Linked DNA regions of Daphnia pulex. The protein of the gene in region 1 purifies or fractionates together with the protein of each later gene. This does not show direct contact. Links are inferred from orthologs where the notes say so. Each region holds a gene or a part of one and is shown in the gene's direction. Other genes may lie near its edges. The genes, in order: serine/threonine-protein kinase Warts-like and LIM domain-containing protein jub-like.

Region 1 (4,614 bases):
TATTCGTCAAGAAATGCCTACCCGTCGTCGTCAGATCCGCCACCTCCACCACCGCCGCCTCGAGGTGCCACTCCGCCACCTCCTCCTTTGCCCCCACCTCCATCGGCTGCATCTAAATCAACAAACAGCCAACATTATCCTAGCAACTTTCAACAGATGCTCAAACGAATGTCACCCGTGCCTAATGCACCACCTATTCCGGGACCCCGTGGGACCAGTCCGGCTCCAGCTCTTCCGCCCGGTCGGCTTCCGCCCCTCGTCGTTCAAAATGGACCCCAAGCACAAGCTCAGCTGACTCAGCAGATGCAAGCTTTAAACATGTACCAACAGCAACAACAATCCAGCAATGGCAGCAGCCCATTGCCACCGTCTTCTGCTCCACCCCCTCCGTATCCCACCGGATCAGCTTCTAAATTAGTGGCTCCTCCTCCGCCTTATCGAGGACCGGATAGCGGATTATCTAACCGACAAAGCCCGACGCTTCCCAGCCCAACTGGCAAAAGTCCGGCTCCCTTCCCACCACCGACCTCGTCGTCGTCAGTTCAAGCCGGGGGGAGATGTCCACCCAACCAAGCCTGGCCACCCCGTCAACCACCCATCACTGTCAAAAGCATGCAGGTATAAATCAGCTCAAATGACACTAATCAATACCGATTTTTTAAATTATTTTATTTTACTGTTTCATCAATCATCAGGTTCAGAAACCGATACTGCAAACAGCTGTAGCGCCGTCAGGTCCTCCTCAATCATCAAGTTCACCTCCACCACCGCCTATCCCGGTCCGTTCAAATCCGGCCGTTTCAGCCTCGCCTCCGCCGCCTCCGCCTCCTTATTCCTCTTCCGGCTATGCATCCAGTAGCTGTCCTTCACCATCATCATACGCTCCTATGGCCTCTCCAAGTCCGCTATCTTTTGCCAGCACGCCGTCTCCAATCCCTAGCAGTCCGGCGCCGGTCAGCGTCCCAACGACTGATCCACCAAGTTATGCATCGACCATGCAGGTATGATATAATAACTCTCCATTCCCTACCGAACCCGTTTGAACTCTATTCGATTTCCTCTCCAGGCCTTGGCTGCTCAAAGACAGCATGGGACAACCCCCACTAACGCCACGAATGTCCTTGCCGTCAATGGATATAATTTATCCGCAACTCCTCCGCCGCCCCCACCTTATCCTTCCTCTATGGTATTATTGCTTGAATCGATCGACTGCCTTATGCAAAAACTTAGCAATGCTCTCATCATAGGCAAATGGTGGAACTGGACTTGCTCAGCAGGTAGAATCACAGGGTTCACCTCACGCTCAGTTACCTCCAAAACCGGGGCAGCGCCGGTTTTCACCATTGACTCTTGAGACTCCATCTTCGCGCTCTGAGAGTCCAATGTCTTCAGCAGCATCGCAGTGTGATTCGGGACGCCATGGCGGTCCGAGCCAATCACCAGTGAGTTTTATTTCTTCATCTGCACCTTCGGAGGGAACGCAAGATTCGGGACTTGGAATGAGCACTAAGGTATGTTCAGTTTGAAAGACATATCTATGTTTTCTTGAATCATGACACTAATTTATTTTACTTTTCTTTAGAACGATTTGAATGGCCATAGTGCACCGTCCAGTGCCAATGGGGAGGATGGTAAAGATGACATGCCACCTCCTCCGCCTCCCCCTTACAAGTTGACGCATCAGTCACCCATCCCGGAACGTAAACATATCTCACGAGAAAGGGAAGAAGAAAGGCGAGAATCTAGCGTACGCAACTATTCACCCCAGGTATGACAAGAATGCTCAGATCGGTGTAGATTTGCAATCGTCTTATCTCTTTATCGCGATATCCAGGCCTTTAAATTCTTCATGGAACAGCACGTTGAGAATCTTCTCAAGTCGCATCAACAGCGAATGGAACGTCGCATGCAATTGGAAACTGAGATGAAAAAGATTGGTTTGTCTGAGGAGGCTCAATGTCAGATGAGGCGGATGCTATCACAAAAGGAATCTAATTACATCCGTTTGAAGCGAGCCAAGATGAACAAAGCCATGTTTTTGAAAATCAAAGGTGAATATTATAGATTTGTCTAATCTTGAACCTTTAAAAGAAATATGTATTTTCTTTTTAGCAATTGGAGTGGGAGCATTTGGTGAAGTGGCTTTAGTACGTAAGATTGACACCAATAATCATCTCTACGCTATGAAGACGTTAAGGAAAACAGATGTTCTTAAGCGCAATCAGGTAAATTTGATTTTACATATTTCACAAAAATAGATTTTTTTTAATCACTTACTTACATACTTTTTCGTTAAGGTGGCTCACGTCAAAGCCGAACGAGACATTTTGGCTGAAGCCGATAATGAATGGGTCGTCAAGCTCTACTACTCGTTTCAGGTATAACTTTATTAAACTTTTTCTTAGTGCGCTCAATCTAAAATAGGTTTTTTTCTGCACTTTAGGACAAGGATAATTTGTATTTTGTGATGGATTACATCCCTGGTGGCGATTTGATGTCACTTCTAATCAAACTCGGGATCTTTGAAGAACCTCTTGCAAGGTTAGCAATCAGTAGTTATTATTCGTTCAATATACGTAATTACTGAATGTTTCATTTGTCATGTAGGTTTTATATAGCTGAATTAGTATGCGCTGTGGAAAGCGTACATAAAATGGGTTTTATTCACCGTGATATCAAGCCAGACAACATTCTTATTGATCGTGACGGTCATATTAAATTGACTGACTTTGGGCTTTGTACTGGTTTCCGCTGGACGCACAATTCAAAATACTATCAACGCAACGGCGATCATTCAAGACAAGTGCGTGCTACTACAAATTAAAATAGCTAAATATTTAATAGCGATATTGACATATTTCTTGTTAATCATGTTAGGATTCTTTTGATCCGGGAGAAGATTGGACCAATGAGTGCCGTTGTAATAATGCTGTCGGAGGTAATTGCAACTCTCTTGGCACAACGCACATTACAGGTCATCCGCCTGTACTGAAAACGTTGGAAAGACGCCGACGTCGCGAACACCAACGCTGCTTGGCACACTCGCTGGTTGGAACGCCAAACTATATTGCACCGGAAGTGCTCCTACGTACAGGCTATACCCAGCTCTGCGACTGGTGGAGCGTTGGTGTCATATTGTATGAGATGTTGGTTGGGCAGCCACCTTTTATGGCTAATACTCCCGCTGAAACTCAGTACAAGGTACTGTTTTCCTTATTCGCAACCAATGTGTGTTCAAGTGTTTAATGTTTTTACTTTTCCTTGTAGGTTATCAACTGGTCGACTACGTTGCAGATCCCTAATTACGCCAACTTGTCACCGGAAGCTGCAGATTTGATTGTTCGTCTTTGTACGTCTGCCGACCAACGATCCGGTAGGGGTGGTGCCGGTGAACTGAAGACGCATCCTTTCTTCAACGGTGTTGACTTTGAGGGCGGCCTTCGCAGCAAAACAGCTCCCTATATCCCGAAAATTCGTTTTGCTACTGACACGTCCAATTTTGATCCGATCGTGCCGGACAAATTGCGGAACAGTGCGGATGAAGATAAGATGGACAACACGCTAGATAACGGAAAACACCCGGTCCACGCATTCTTTGAATTTACTTTCAGACGATTTTTTGACGATGGCGGTCACCCTCGAATGAATCCTGATGATAATGAAGCCAATCACGGGCCCGTCTATGTCTAATTAACGAGTGTATACGTTTGTGTGATCGATTCACGCTCCATTATCCTCACTGAAAAAACCTTATCGTGAGGTTCCAACCAACCAAACCAAAACAAAGCTTTTTTTTCCCTTCTACGTTTTTAAAAGGCACACGCTTCAAATTGTTAAAAAAATGAAGGCAGCAAAATTCCATTCGGTTTCGACGTAGCAACAGCTTCTGATGCTGTATTAACCGACTGTTCCACAACTAGGAACTGAATCTCGCGATGTTGCTGCCGTCTCCCCTAGATCACAGTGTCCAAAGAATACTCTGCCCCACCGTTTTTGAACCGCAAATCAAATTGCTAAATCCCCCTCCCTTTTATATATATGTATCTTTCGAAATATTTCGAGTTGGTGGGTGATGGGTTGAGGAATTGACTTTTTTTGGCTGCCTTACGAATCAGTGTTTTAATTATTCTTGTATGCCAGTGTAGGACAGTAATTTTTTTTTCTAAGAACAACCTTTTTCTTATTGGGAAGGTTTCAGATTTTGGGTACGTCCATAAATTGTCATGACGTTATATTTGTTGTCAAATTTTCCTTCTGATTAATCCTTCATTATGTATCCTCCTCCCCCCATTTAGGACCCCGTTACAGACTTATCAATCTTCTTTACATTGTAAAGAGCTGCCGTTTAGAAGTTTGCGCACAGGGCCTTCGGCCAAGCGTGACGAATGTGTATTTTCGATTCCGTGTTGTATCTGAAGCCATCCGTTACGGCTACTAAACCAACTGCGGAATTCGTGCCTTTTTTGCGTGAGCCTGTCGAACGGCCCGTGCCTTGTAATCTGTTGTATATTGTATGCTATTGTGTAATTACAGTGATCCATTTAACGGATGTTTGGTGGAACAGTTTGTGTGTAAGTGCGTGTAAATTAAATCTGTAAGAGAAATAAAGTGTGT
Region 2 (4,541 bases), on another chromosome or scaffold:
GAAAATTCATTACCAAGGACGTTGCTTGCCGATGAACATGGATCACCAACAAAGGGTGTTGGGTGAAGCCAGGCAACTGGCGACGCAGGGACTTCGGGTGATTGGAATGGCACGCGGAGATTCAATGGAAGCGATGGAGTTTCTCGGCATGGTCGGCCTGCACGACCCACCTCGACCGCAGGTGCGACAGGCCGTCGACATCTTCCACGGCACCGGAGTTCAAGTGGTCATGGTGACTGGCGACGCCATGGAAACGGCCGTATCCATCGCAGAACTGTTGGGGATTTACCGGCCCAACAGTACAGTCGTTTCTGGAGAGCAACTGGACGCTATGGCCGACGATGAACTAAAGGACCGCGTGATGGAGGTGTCCGTCTTTTATCGAGTGACGCCCCGTCAGAAGCTGCGCATCGTGCAAGCTTTCCAGTCTGTGGGTGCCGTGGTGGCCATGACTGGCGATGGAGTCAACGACTGTGTTGCTCTCAAAGCTGCCCATATCGGCATAGCAATGGGCAAGAACGGCACGGATGTTTCCAAAGAAGCGGCCGACATGATCTTGGTTGACGACGACTTTTACACCATCATGGCAGCTGTCGAAGAAGGTAAAGGCATCTTTTACAACATCCGCAACTTTATCCGCTTCCAGTTGAGTACGAGTATTGCTGCGCTGTCGCTCATCACCATTACAACCCTGGCTGGACTACCGAACCCGCTCAACGCCATGCAAATTCTTTGGATCAATATTTTAATGGACGGACCCCCAGCTCAAAGTCTGGGCGTTGAGCCCGTAGACAAAGATGTCATCCGGCAACCTCCACGCAGCAGCAAGCAATCAATGATTGATCGATCTCTCATCGCCAATGTACTACTTTCGGCAGCTATAATCGTCCTGGGAACTCTGTTCGTGTTCCAACGCGAGTTGCAGGATAACAAGTTAACACCTCGTGACACGACAATGACATTCACTTGCTTTGTCTTGTTCGACCTGTTCAACGCCCTTAGCTGTCGCTCGCAGGACAAATCTGTCCTGGAAATTGGACTTGGGACGAACCGGCTCTTCATTGCCGCCGTGCTCCTGTCACTCTGCGGCCAACTGCTCGTCATCTTTTTCCCACCACTCCAGTGGGTTTTCCAGACGGAAGCACTCCATTTTCAGGATATGGCCTTCCTGACGGCTATCACTTCTAGTGTCTTAATTGTATCCGAACTGAAAAAGTGGATCCAGCGACACCCGCCTTTTCGACTCTTCTCTCCGGCTGTTAACAGAGGGCGAAGTCGTTCTGATTTGATCTAACCAAAATTCTATTTCATTCAATCGTACAACATCTACTATTCTTCAACTGTCTGTCAATCTCTTGTTTTTTATTCAATTTCTTTTTCATTCATTATTGTTACTATAAAGGTATTCGTTTGACGAGTCAATAGATTGCCAAGAGAACAGAAGGGGCTTTTCGCATATTATTTCATAAAATAATGCCCAGCTTTCCCTTTCCACCCCGCCCCTCTCCATTTACCCTTAGGCAGAGACTCCAGCAGACACTCGACTGTGTACACACACACACAGCCAGTTCATTCGACACGCAATCTGTTATCACGTTTGTGTTGTGTTTTCGTAGGCGGGAATGAGTACCATTCTCTTTCTGTGACGTTGATTAGGTTCGGATATCCTTGAGACGTATTTGGCAGAGTACAAGTATTTCCATCCCTCTGATCATGGACCAGGAATTAGGCAAGAAAATGTCGGCTTTGCGACTAGCCGAAGCCAACAGAACGAGCAACATCACTCGACCTACTACTGGATTTCAGTATCCAGCTACTAGTGGCCAATTACCACCGTACAAGTATCCTAATTCAGCTGCTACTCAAATGAAATATGAACCTCAGTATGGATCTTCATCATCGGAAGGAATTTATGCCAACCTGGAGGAGCTCACTGGAAGTCCTGTCAGAGGCAGGTATGAAGATGCATTTATCCCACCTCCAGAACAATTTTCCCAAAGACTTGTTCAGATATCCAAGATATCACACGTCCCCACGCAATCCAAAGTGAGTTTGGAAGAAGCCATGCGCTACACACCACCAAACTTGGTGACTTCTGCTGACGAAGCACCTGTTTATGAGAATCTTCAATTCTACACTTCACCAAAGAAATCGTTTTCAAGTATTTCATCAGCTAGTAACATGTGTGTGCCAACCTATCAGCCAGTTTCCTCCAACCTTGCCGCATTGAAAACTGATGCCCAGTTGGCCACACAACAGCCCTTTGAGCCGAGTCAGTTTCCCCCACCTTCTACATCGATGAAATGCAAATCTTTCACACAAGCATATCCAGCACCACAAATCATCAAGCCATCTCCTCAAAGGTTTTCCCAACCTACTCCTACCTATCAACAAACTCAAAACGCTACAAGCACTACTACAACTGGATATGAAAAGTCACCTCAGCGATTCATCAAACCAGGAATGACAACTGATTCAAGCATTCAACAGATGAGTCCAGCTGGTTCCTCCCCTAAAATGCCCTTTGCAACTCTTCCTTCCAAAAAGGTTTGTACCTTCTTAGTATTTTGTTTGTGTTTGTTTAATAATTTTTGTTTTTAATTTCTTTAATTTCAGGAAACTTCTGATGCTGAGAAAAAATTTGAATCTTTCATGAAAGAAATAGAAGAAGAAATGGAGAATCAAGAACAAGATGGGGAGTTTTTTGGTAATGAATACATTTTATTTAGCAAAAATTTCACTTCCTAAAGGTTCTTTGTTGTTTTGGAACAATCGCGCACCAATAAATAGGTGTTTGTCATACTTGTGGCGAAAAAATTACTGGGGCGGCCGAAGCCTGCCAGGCAATGGGAAATCTCTATCACACTTGCTGCTTCGTATGCTGTTCCTGTGGTCGGGCCCTTCGGGGAAAAGCTTTCTATAATGTTCATGGAAAGGTTTACTGCGAGGAGGATTATTTGGTGTGTATCATTTTTATAGGTTAACTGGGCAACTTTTTGCTTATAAATCCTTTCTATTTTCACAGTACTCTGGCTTTCAACAAACTGCTGAGAAATGTGGACTGTGTGGACATTTAATAATGGAAACTGTAAGAGCTTTATTTTCTGAACAAATCCCGTTTCAATTATAATCATTAAAAAAATATGTTGTACAGATTTTACAAGCTATGGGAAAATCTTATCATCCTGGATGCTTCCGTTGCTGCGTTTGCAACGAATGCTTGGACGGGGTTCCATTCACTATCGACGTTGATCATAAAATCTACTGTGTGACCGACTACCACAGGTAAAATAAGTATTCCATCTCTTTTTTGCACCTAGATCTGTTGTACCACATTACCTGCACCACTCCGTTGCGTGTTTCTTTGGTACATGGTTTTTATTTTGAGTCAAAACTCTTACGTGCTGGGCCATTTTTTGCCTGCCTGATTGGAGGAATATTTACTTCCTAAGAGCCTGCTTAATTCTCTCTTTTTTGAACACTTTTCTTGTATCATCGTTGTCTTGCTGGGTGAAGGATGTTTGCACCGAGATGCGCAGCTTGCGATGAAATTATCACGCCTGCTCAGGTGAGAGATCTATTTGGTTCCAGGGCCCTTGACAAATTTGAATTTTGCTCATAAAAGAAAGGGATACGACATTCTTTTTTCTATGCACTTATAGGGTAGCAAAGAGACGGTACGCGTTGTGTCTATGAACAAGGATTTTCACGTTGATTGCTATGTTTGCGAGGTTTGACATTCAACAAATAAGGTCTTCTTTTCAACGCAATTTTTAAATGTTTCTTTTGCTATTAGAGTTGTGGATTACAGTTAACGGATGAGCCAGAGCGGCGATGTTATCCTTTGTACGGCCGCCTATTTTGTCGCAGCTGTCGACTTATGCAAGACACTTGAAAATTATGCAGCACACGAATACGCCAAAACCAAAATGTTTTTTTTTTACTCTTCGGTTTTCTTTCCTATTATTACGTGCGATATAAGCTTTTACATTTTGACGAAAACTTTTTAGGTTTAATTTTCAAAAACTATCCTACAAGACGTTATTTGACTTTTTTTTTGTGTGTACCTTATTCAAACTAACGTGACTAATGTCCCTAATAGATTGGCTCTGTTTTCATTGCAAATGTACACTGCACAAATACTCGGATTACACCATTAAATTTTTAGTTAATACCAACCGAACGTTATGTACATTTGTGGAGTTCAACTTCTGAATGAATGAAACAATTTTATTCAGTTAGTTTTCATTTGAGCTGTGATTGGATCACTAGCACATCCAGGGCATGTGTGCAATGTTTCTCGTATGAATAGGTCGCAGTCAAGACATACAATCTGTTTGCAGTTTTCACACTCGTAAACCTTAAAAAAATAAATAAATAACAGATGTAAGAAAATCGTCGAAGAACCAATAATCATTCTTACATTGGGATCCAATTCACCAAAAGGCTTGGCGCACGCAAAGCAATGCGTCATCTCGGGAACTTCTGTTCGTTCTATAAATGGTTTGATGGGAAAGAGATGGTGATAAGAACGGGCAAGA

The links.
Region 2: the proteins of serine/threonine-protein kinase Warts-like (region 1) and LIM domain-containing protein jub-like purify together in Drosophila melanogaster (affinity purification with western blotting; 4 studies listed by BioGRID). This does not show direct contact. The link is inferred for Daphnia pulex from reciprocal best matches to the Drosophila melanogaster genes wts and jub.

Annotation. Positions count from the first base shown.
Region 1 is NC_060026.1:6,952,990-6,957,603, forward strand, and holds part of serine/threonine-protein kinase Warts-like, read left to right. Parts: coding exon 1-618; intron 619-695; coding exon 696-1,001; intron 1,002-1,066; coding exon 1,067-1,186; intron 1,187-1,247; coding exon 1,248-1,511; intron 1,512-1,582; coding exon 1,583-1,768; intron 1,769-1,834; coding exon 1,835-2,051; intron 2,052-2,112; coding exon 2,113-2,225; intron 2,226-2,297; coding exon 2,298-2,378; intron 2,379-2,443; coding exon 2,444-2,541; intron 2,542-2,607; coding exon 2,608-2,803; intron 2,804-2,877; coding exon 2,878-3,201; intron 3,202-3,267; coding exon 3,268-3,690; 3' UTR 3,691-4,614. UniProt on the Drosophila melanogaster protein: Negative regulator of Yorkie (Yki) in the Hippo/SWH (Sav/Wts/Hpo) signaling pathway that plays a pivotal role in organ size control and tumor suppression by restricting proliferation and promoting apoptosis.
Region 2 is NC_060021.1:11,750,452-11,754,992, reverse strand, and holds LIM domain-containing protein jub-like, read left to right. Parts: upstream 1-1,512; 5' UTR 1,513-1,713; coding exon 1,714-2,547; intron 2,548-2,616; coding exon 2,617-2,707; intron 2,708-2,789; exon of another isoform or gene 2,790-2,790; coding exon 2,791-2,960; exon of another isoform or gene 2,961-3,025; coding exon 3,026-3,088; exon of another isoform or gene 3,089-3,154; coding exon 3,155-3,285; exon of another isoform or gene 3,286-3,516; coding exon 3,517-3,568; exon of another isoform or gene 3,569-3,662; coding exon 3,663-3,731; exon of another isoform or gene 3,732-3,796; coding exon 3,797-3,895; 3' UTR 3,896-4,178; downstream 4,179-4,541. Other genes in the region: calcium-transporting ATPase type 2C member 1-like, read left to right, coding at 1-1,294; general transcription factor IIH subunit 2-like, read right to left, coding at 4,235-4,360, 4,424-4,541. UniProt on the Drosophila melanogaster protein: Regulates organ size by inhibiting apoptosis and promoting cell proliferation by influencing the expression of G1/S-specific cyclin-E (CycE) and apoptosis 1 inhibitor (th). Negatively regulates the Hippo signaling pathway.